Linked DNA regions of Drosophila melanogaster. Changing the gene in region 2 together with the main gene of any one other region gives a genetic interaction. Each region holds a gene or a part of one and is shown on either strand. Other genes may lie near its edges. The genes, in order: SNF4Agamma and Invadolysin.

The links.
Region 1: of Invadolysin (region 2) and SNF4Agamma, changing one enhances a phenotype caused by changing the other (phenotypic enhancement), as found in Drosophila melanogaster (one study listed by BioGRID).

The regions. Positions count from the first base shown.
Region 1 is NT_033777.3:21,154,500-21,159,647, reverse strand, and holds the start of SNF4Agamma (SNF4/AMP-activated protein kinase gamma subunit), read right to left. Parts: upstream 3,287-5,148; 5' UTR 3,237-3,286; intron 2,211-3,236; exon of another isoform or gene 2,152-2,210; 5' UTR 1,991-2,151; intron 411-1,990; exon of another isoform or gene 259-410; coding exon of another isoform or gene 1-258. Other genes in the region: cDIP (common Dpr-interacting protein), read left to right, coding at 1-258.
Region 2 is NT_033777.3:10,142,434-10,147,680, reverse strand, and holds the start of Invadolysin (invadolysin), read right to left. Parts: upstream 3,014-5,247; 5' UTR 2,281-3,013; coding exon 2,149-2,280; intron 1-2,148. Other genes in the region: CG42759 (uncharacterized protein), read right to left, coding at 4,327-4,451, 4,507-4,594; TAF1B (TATA box-binding protein-associated factor RNA polymerase I subunit B), read left to right, coding at 3,610-4,037, 4,093-4,213, 4,747-5,187. UniProt on the Drosophila melanogaster protein: Essential for the coordination of mitotic progression, and also plays a role in cell migration.

The DNA.
Region 1 (5,148 bases), about 11 Mb from region 2:
TATCGCTTGCCCGAAAAAGAGGGTGTGGACTCCTCCTCCTCTTCGGAAATCTCCGCCAGCGTAGAGTCCTCGCCCATAACAAGTAGTTCTGATCCCAGCGAGGTGGACAAACTGCGCGATGAACTGAAAGCAGTGGTGCAGCACTTTGATTCCAAGTTCGATTTGATATTCAGTAAACTGGCCCAATTGAATGAACAAATTCAGGCCTTTGAAGTGCTCAACAAAACTGTTTGGAGTCAAGTGACCTTGTCCGTTTGAAGTTGTTAAATATGGCCCATTTTTTATGTGATCACTACATTTTCAAAGCTTTACAATTATATGTATACATTATAATTAATATTTGAAGTATTTCCTAAAGCTTCTTAATTTTAAACATAAAATCTTTCGATCCAATAAATAAATCATTTTTTAAATTGTTGGAAGAATTCCACTAAAGAATTCGCGTGTATGTTTTTTTTACCAGTTCTTGATAATATACAAAGTTGGAACCATAATCTAACAAAACAGGAAGGCTTTTCGTCTTTGTTTAAGATTTAGTTTCCTAGAATATCATTTTTTTCTACGCCTATTCAATTCCTAATCTCGAAAACAATTTCTGCTCCATTTCCCTGCTGATTTTGCATACTCAACCCCAAAAAACCAATACAATTTGCAACATGAGCACATCTAGTAAATATTTATTGCTCGCTGTGTCGTATACGTAGAATAATATTTAAACAATAATATTGATTTTCGAGCAAAGCAAAGTTGGGTTCTTTTTCTGAAAGATATTGAAAGAGGTTCGTTCAACTCGGGCTGGCGAACCAAAATGGAAAAACGAGAAGAAAACTGGAGGGCGAAGACAAGATGGTGGGGCTCGGGGAACTTGAGTTGAATTGAACAAAGTCAAGTCAATTACAAAACCAATATTTTCGGAAACTAAACAACAATATTGAATTCGATCGAATGGACCAGAAACCGAGTTATTTTATTGCCATCTGCTAATGCGAACAGTTTTAATTATTTATGCTTTATCCCTTCTATTCGCTTACTCGCACATTTATGGCTAACTAATTGCTAAGATAAACAAACAGTTTCGATTTCAGTGCAGCCACTTCGTAAGGACGGAAAGTAGAAACAAATCCAATTTCACGGATCTCGACGATCACTGGTCGATCTGCTGATCCGGAGTATCGTGTGCATGTGATTAGGAATAAATCCATACATACATATGTATATCCATTCGAACACGAGTTTCAAATACGTTTTGTTTACATTGGCAGTGCAATTTTTGTTTTAAGGTAATTGGCGGCACACAAATCGTGGCAGCTGTAAGTGCGAACATTCAATTTTACCATATAGTGCGACTGACTATCTGCGACTTCTAGTAGTTGTATCCGCAGATCAAAGTTCGACATTTCCTGATTGCCAACTTCAGTAGCTATCTTTTTTTAATTTCTGGGCATTCGCTTGAAGTGTGCTTACTTAATTAGTCAATGTCTAAAATGTAGTAGGCATCGTGATAGGGTACTTTTACATTTAAAGAAATCCACTCACGATTTTATAACCATAACTTCAAATGAGTTTCGACAAAAAAAAGTCGTATGAAGAATTCAGGTAAGACCCTTTGAATTGTTTTATGTTATTATATTTTACATTGCCTGATTTAATACTGTTATTCCTGTTATTGATACTGTTATACACTATCTATTACATAATTGATCGCTTTTATTAAATGTTTTCTAAATATAAAAAAATTTAATAAAATTGTTTACACATTCTGAAAATCTAATTATGAAAAAATTTTGGGCGATTTTGGGTATTTTCCCAGCGTCGCCGCGAACTGGGGGAATTTCCCACCCACTCAACTTAGTCACCGACACAAAAGGCAGATGAAAAGTTTCGGGGAAAATCAAACGTCAAGCGCTCATATCAACACAAAAAGAAAATAAAGGCAGTGAAGTAAATCAGGTTTTCGATAATTATAAAAAGAAAATAAATTGTCACCCACCTTTTGTGTGTTTTTATCAGTAATTGGATGTTTCTGATTCGCGCTGGCAGATTGCAGAATCACAATTGTCGAATTTCGGTTAAAAAATTAATTTCACGGACACAGGAACGCATACACACATCCGCACATTCACGTACACACTAACACACATTCACGTTCACCTGAACGGGTGGAAAACAAAACTTTTGTAAACAATTTCGCGATTAGGCATTTAGCTGCGCTAAGAAATTATTGTAAATAAGAAGAGACGTAACGAATTAGCTGGTTGTGTTGGCGCATTATATGTTATATATATGTTATGAGTGTATATTCAGAGATTAGAGCGAAATTATAATGACGACTTTTCGCTGGATGTCCAAACACTTTCGAGGTGTTGACTTTTCAGATTAGATTACAGCACTCATTTCACTCGGCTAATTATCAGCCATTTGGTTCAACACCAAATAAATCACAAAACACGAAAACACCAGCAACAACAACCGAATCGATCTTAATAAAAGCAAAGAATGCGAGCCATAAAAATCAAGAATCAAAATGAAAATTTATTCGGGCGCGCGCTTCCACTTTGGACTCGACTTTCCAATTGGAACACGCAGTGATCGGACAATGGAAGGGGTGAGAAGAAGAAGAGGAGCAGCAGGACGTTGTTGTGTTTGCCACTTTTTATTAAGAATCTAAACCATTACTGCGCGAAACACAGCTAGAAACTGACACAAGGAACAAAAACAGAAGAATAGCAAATCTGGGCAAATAAAAGTATTTGTCCGTGGAAAATTTCCAAAACGTTTCTGTCGCTCTTTCCAGCGACGCCATGTGTTTGTTTGTATGCGTAACAGCTGATCGCCGATTATTGATTTTTTATAGGGATGTACATATGCACACATGTGTGTGTATGCATGGGCAGGAAAAGTGATTAGAGGCTATTGTTTTGTGTAACAAGAAAGAAGTTTCACAATTCACTTGCGCACTCAAAAGAACAAAGATCGATTGTCCGTTGTTGCCGTTGTTGTCACTGCAATTTCTGCAATCCATTCGCGCACAATTAAAAGCTGTTCACGCAGCTTATCACAGAAGAATTTTATGGCTAAGCCACCCACTGGCGCGGACATGCTATCCTGACACCATGCCGGAATTTTCTCTCAATTAAATTATTTATTATAAATTAGTAAGAATTTAAGAACATTTAATTTGCTTTGTTTTTCACTGCACTCCCGTTTTTTAACGCGAATTAAAAGTTTTTCCCAACCTCGTAATCCGCTGCGTTTTCACCAAGCAAAGTTCGCAACCTAACTCACGATTGTGGTCATCGTTATCGTTTGCGAAATCCAGCAGAAAAGGTCTTACTCTTCGCCTATCGTTATCGCTAGAGATCTTTTTACAATCCAGTTGGAATTAGCGTGACCACAACTGTAACGTTGTTTTAGTATTTTTCTATAACTCGTTGTTTGCAATTTTACTGAAATATGTGCATTTAAATAGTAAATTCTTAAGTGCCCACTCGCGTAAGTAAATACGCACATATATCTACTTATTTATTCAATAAACAAGAATCATTGAGAATTCTTTAGTTGCGTAGAAGTTATTTTAAATAAAATGCGCTTTGCTACTTTCCGGCGGCGGTCACACTTAAAAAACAACGCGTTGCCAGATCGGACCGTGTTCGCAATAGCAATCAGTTTTTGTCATGCACCGCCGCTTTAGGCGCCAAAATGATATAAGTTTGAATTGCAAAAATTGCTCCGCTCTGTAAATCACGCCGAACATACAAAATAGAAAACATTTTAGCTATAAAAAAAACTTTAGCTTTTATAAAAAAAGCTATAAAAGCTATAAAAAAAACTTTAGCTAGCTTTAGCTAAAAAAAATTAAACTTATGTACATAAGCATATTCCTATTTCCATCATAGTGCTGGAAATTAGATTTTATGCCCCATAAATAATCATAACCAGTTGCCTTGGCATGCCTTTCACACTTTCGGAGCCCACCCAAACTCTTTGAAACTTCAGCTAAGCCAACAAAAATCAATAAAAATGGCGCATTGCACAGAGGCCACCGAGGAGCACACAATGACGCCACCAGAAACAGCAAAATACTTGAAATCGGAGTCGATGAATTTGCCACCATTCACGAACTTCATTTAGACCATTCCAAATAGGTCCAAGGACGCAATAAATACATTTGAAGTACTCTCGAAAATAAGTTTCCTCGATGCTCAGGGTTTTTTGCTAGCTCGATCAATCAATCCCAGCCGAGGAACTGGGAACACTCACCTGCTCGATGTCGAAGTCCCATTCGGGCGATGGAGAACGCGCTGTTCGGCCGCCCGGCGGAGGCGTTCCCAATGCGGGGGAACCGGCTTGGGGCTCTTCGGGAATCACGGCGAAGCGACCCCGCTGGAGGATTGGCGAAATGGCGCCATAATTAGCTGCAAAGGCGAAAGAAGGGGTCAGTATTCAGCACCATGCATTTATTATCGAGAATTTGACCAAAAGATATCAATTACTATTAGCATAACTGTAATGATTAATGTCGTATACTTTATATAAACTCAAATTGTAAAGGCGAAAAAGTACCAAATCAACTTACACGTGGGCATGAGACGAAAGCGGCCGAGCGTCGTTTCGGGCGGGCCCTGTGGCGTGGAGGAGGTGACACGGAAGCGTCCTCGGCGGGCGGCGGCCACGTCCTCGTAGTTGCTGCCCCCCGACGCTCCGCCGGCACTGCTCTGCATCCTGTGGCTGATGCTTCCTTGTCGGCCTCGCCGAAAACTGCAATGGAGTGTGAGAAAAATCAAATCAATATTGCGCACAGGTGGCAAAGTTCTTGTTTCCTTTGACTAAAACAACTGAAACTCAATTAAGCCAATGGCATTAGAGTATATTGATCTTTGATGGAACTATATAAAACATTTTCCGTAAATTCTCTAATATAAAAAACTTAGCAAAACTTAGATATAAAGACGCTTTTATGAACACTAAAATTAACCAATCAAAACAATTAAAACAAATGGTCATTGATTTATATATCTTGCATTATACATACCTAATTTTATATAGACTTTACTTGAACGAATTTTAACTAATAGTTTCAACTCAACTACAGCTAACATTTCCTAACATTACTAATACGCCACGTTGGCTCTATGGAATGACTTTAGT
Region 2 (5,247 bases):
GAATGCATTTGCATTCGTGTTTATAGTTACCTAGGGAGTTTCATTAATATAGAAACATGTGTAACTTCGTCATATCAAATCAGCACCTGTTTTGATTGTACTGGAAAATGTTAGCATCACGCTTTGATTAAGTTCTTTTCAGTTTAGCTCGTGAATCAAAAAGCTTTTCATCCTGAATGGAGATTCCCTGCAGCTCAGTTTGCTAAGCCAAAAGATAATTTAATTTAATGGCAGTTTTTCTGAAGTTAAGTGTGCGTTTATCGTATTAGAAGGTCAATACAGTCCGCGACATCGCTGACAGGCGCGCACGCACGCTGGCAACGTGACAAATGGTTTAATTTGGCGAATTTTACACATTGCTGCAGTTGTTCTCGCAATTGCTGACAGCCGCGTTCTTCAATTTATATAACACTAATTAGAATCGAGTACTTCGGTTTCAGCTGGACCGCTATTTAATTGAATGGATGTTCCATACGGATGTGAACATATATGTATGTACCATTGGTTCGTTCGCCATACATATATTTATGTCTTTATCCTCCTCTACAAACACTGCTCCTGTCAGGATGATTTTCAGTGGCCAGACAGCAGGACATTCCGTGCGCAGAGAGACACATAATCTGGACGACGGTTTTTTGCATTTACAACAGTTTAAGTTACAGATAATTCAATTAATTACACGCTGGGCGACCTCGACAGCATCGTTAGCCATCAACAGACAGTCGCTGAATTAATTCATTTCCCTGCCATTCCAATTCACTTTTACTGGCTTGAAAACAAAGTAGTTACTCGCTAATTAAAACTTTAGCGTTTGCACAGATTTTTCATACATATATTGTGTTTTATATTGTTAACGAATGAAAAAGTTCTGTGTCCCCTGGTGAGTTTGAAAATAGGATGCATCCTGCCAATGTTTGCAAAAAGCTTATGTATCTTTTGTGCAAACTACACTATAGTTGCTTTTAGCTGCCACACCATATACAGCTGTGTATTAATTTCGTTCTCCACAAGTGCATATATTTGAAAAGTTATAAAACACCTGGGAAATGCATATTTCCGAGAACATTTTATGTTCGATTATACTGCAGTTGCAACCACGGAGGACAGACTGTACCCGCCTCGATACAGTAATCATGTAAATTTCCCCTTTTTGCGCAATTGAAGGCGACCTTTATTTATGGCGACGCGCCAATTAAATCGCCGTTGATTGGAAAGCAGTAAAGTGCAGGCGAAAAACTTCCAAAGACACAAAAACAAAAGCCCGACGGAATGCAGATCCCGAGCAACAAGTTGGCGGGCAGCGTCTGACATTAAACCCTAACTAGATCACTGGATGTGGATGTCGATGTGGTGCAGATGGAGGCGGTTTGGTAACCACGATGGTGGGTTACACGTTATGAGCTACCTGTTAATATGCAGCCCCACCACCTGACTGACAAACTAAACCACATTGCATTGACTGACTGACTGAATCTCGAATGCGCATATTATTAGCCAGCGGAATTAGTCAATAAGCTGTGGTTGCCACCAACCATCGCTAGATGTTTATTGTTTCAGTTTTTTGCCGCTGTTTCTATGGCAGAATTATGAGAATGGCAATTTCAGGGCTCCTCTTAAATCGGCACTAATTAGGCCTGCCTTTTTCATGCCAAAGCCCAATCAATTATAAATTTTCGACGAGCACAGTTTGCACCAATTATGAAATTTCTCTAATGAGCACGAAGGACAATCTGCCCAAATGGCCGAAGCAGAAACAAACAAGAAACTCGAGCATTGAAATTTCCGAAGTTGCGATTTTCCAGCTGATTTAAACTTTAAGGACTCTTTCTTTTGAAATTACCAAACCATCTTCATACCTTATACTATCTTGTAATCTAGCTATCTAGCATGAAAAATCTTAGCTAGTTGCAAGACTAAAAAAAAAAAGACTAATATTAATGTAGTTGGGATTGTAAATATTTGGCACACGTGTGCGGGTGAGCACTTAAAGATTCCGTGTTCCCAAAATAGCCCTTTCCCGGATATTATTTGTTTTATTTGCAAGAAAGGGCGGAGTAAGAGAAGAAGGCCAATTCAACCCAATACCATAGAGTCCAATCCAATTCAATCCAATCCCTTCATTTTTGGAGCCAAACGAACGCAACTCACCTCGTGGGCCTTTGGATGCTGGTGTTGGCAGTTGTGAGCGGTGGCCGAAACGAGGAGCCAAGAGCAGATGCCGAGGGCTGCCAGGAATTTGGCCATGTTACCGTGGGGGCGGAGCGGGGGCGTTTTGGCCATGGTGTTTTACTTCGGGGTGGAATATCGCCGTGGATATTATAGAGTACTCAGCATTGTAGCGGTGATCCTTTTCATTGTCAGGATTAGTGTGATTTTTGTTTAATTATCACTTGACTTCGAACACCCATATCTGCACTTAAAATTCTTTGTTTATTTTCCTCTTTGGTTTGCTTATGTTTGCTGCTTTTCCGCCGTTTGCTTTGTCAATTAACTCGCGAAAACCGGCTCGATTCGAATCCCTTTCCTCTCACTCGCACACATAAACAACTCGCACACACACGTACATACGCACACACAGAGACACTCAATTATTGGGGCCTTTGGACTACTTTTTGTTTTTGTTTTCGGGTGGGTGTGTCCCAATCTCAGCCCACGCCAAAAAAATGTGCATAAAACTACAGCAAACTACAAACTGCAGTTAGCCGCAAAAGGAGGAACAAACTCGCACTTAAATGTCAAATTCTCATGAACTGTCCGTGCAGCGAGAGCATTCTGTAGGACTCACTGCCATACCCGACACAGTGGGCACTCAATAAGCGCATTCGTCGAGCCTTTTCATTCAGCAAAACCATAAAAACACTCGCGCGAAAAGGGGGCGTTTGGGTACCGGCGGGGGTGGTTGGCACGAACAACAAACTTAGAGAGACGCGAGTCGAATCGTCCGACAACGACGTTAACGTTCGCCAGCCGATTTTGTTTTGAATCGAGTCTCTATACATATGCATAAGTACATGGACACAAGGACAGAGTGGCCATTCAACGAAAACGAAAAACGCGTTCTTATGCTTTTCCGAATCTGGTAACACCTCTTATTAGCGCTAAAAAATTACGTTGCCTATCGATATTTCGAATCGACTTTTTTAAAAATCAAGCGTCAAGACATGGATAATTCAATTCTTACTGCTTATGGTCACACCAAAAAGATAACAGAAATGTTACGAGAGATTAGAGTTCAGTGATGGCTAACGTACAAGTGCATCTAACAGGTTGGCATAAAAAACAATAAAAAATACCCTTTACGCTTATTAGATTTTAATATATACTTTCAAAAAAAAACCGCTCTCTAAATTTTATATAAAAATAAAATTTTATTAAAATACCATGACTAAAAATATGTTACTTTGAACCAACTTTTATTTGCCGCCTTAATCTAGTGATGTACGTTTTCATAGAAGAAACGGACGATATATCGAATCAATCGAAGAACGGATGATATCGTTGTAAACATAGATCATTCCCCACCACTATCACATGCACGATTTGTGTACAACCGCGAGTTTGATTAATAATATAATTTAAATCTGATACCGTCAAGAGAAAGTCCCAAAAATGGAGGAAGTTCTCGAGACGATGCAGCTGGAGAACATGCACTGCGATGTGTGCGAGGGTACCACCTTCCAGGAGCGCGAGGGATTCTACTACTGCGTAGAGTGTGGCACACAGAAGGATCAGATTCGTGCAGTGGACATTACCGCCGAGGATAACTTTGATGACACGGCAGCAGGCCGATATACAGCCAGGACGATCCGACAGAAGAAGGATACGGAGAAGGAGGATGAGGACGATATCACCTCGTGGGAATTCTACAACTACGTGCTGCGCGGCTTCCTCCAGGAGCTGCTCAACATGGGCGCCAAGCCGGAGCTCAAACTGATGACCCTGCAAGTGTGGGCGGCTTACTTGGACAGCATGGAGGTGGCCTTCAGCAAGAGCAACAAGACGGGACTGCCTAAACTGAATGTGCGGGCGCTGCCCATGTGGGTTCTTGCATTCTCCTAAAATTTCTTATTTTTAAATTCCGAATTCTTTCAGAGATGCCCGCATCATCTACAACCATAAGACATTCAAGAAAGGCAAAAAGGGCAAGAAGAGCACTCTAACGGGTGACCCAAATGACGAGCGCGCCAAGTTCAGATTGTGGAACAGAACTAAGGTAGTTTATTAGCCGCTGGTAGTCGGTATAAAGGGCAAGAAGAGCACTCTAACGGGTGACCCAAATGACGAGCGCGCCAAGTTCAGATTGTGGAACAGAACTAAGGTAGTTTATTAGCCGCTGGTAGTCGGTATATAGAATTGGTTAGGAAACAGCAGGGGCAGCAGCAGGAAAAGGGTCCGTTGGTAGTCATTATACATGGGTTTTGCTGTATTTATCTCCTGTACTGGATTAGAATCTGTGGCGAATATGTTGGATGAACAATAAGCGTTAGGATTAGTTTATCTAATTACTTTCAGTGACTTCTGGAGCTCCGGGAACAGGTTGTCCGTAGGCCAATGCCAGGATGGCCACGCCAATTAGAACCAGACGCATGGACATATTTGCAACGACACACTTTACCAAATTGCTGCTGACTTGAACACGTTCGTCTTTTATAGCTCCACAAGCTATATAAATGACATAGTTAGCCTATTCATTAGTGATGTTTACTCAGATGCGACTGTAACACCTTGATCCCATTCCTTTTGCAGCGCAATCTAGACGCCTCCGGCTACCGCTCGCACGGAGGAGCTTCAGAGTCCGAAGGGGAGCAGAGTCTCCACCTGCAATGGTCAATGCGTGCACGCAAGTCCTTGAAGCGCCATATGCCGCTGAAGCACCTGGACAAGCATAGCCGCGACAGCAAGGGTAGTATGTCGTGCCACAGCTTGAGACCGAGGGTCAAGCAGCTCCACAATTTTGATCGTAACATCTACTGCCTGAATATTATCAAGTTGTATGTGGTGCTGGGCATAGCCCTTAATATGGTGGAGGATGATATACAGCTATCGGACTTGCTGCGCTTCATTGATGAGGAGCACTTGACCAAGCGGTGCATGCTTAACTATCTGCCCGGAAATGTGGCGGCCAAGGGCAAGGCACTGCTCAAAGATATGGAGCTCAGCAAAATGAAAGACAAGGTTACCAACAAGGTGACTATAATCCATCATTTTCTAACGATAGAAAAATAGAAATATCTATTAATAAAAAGG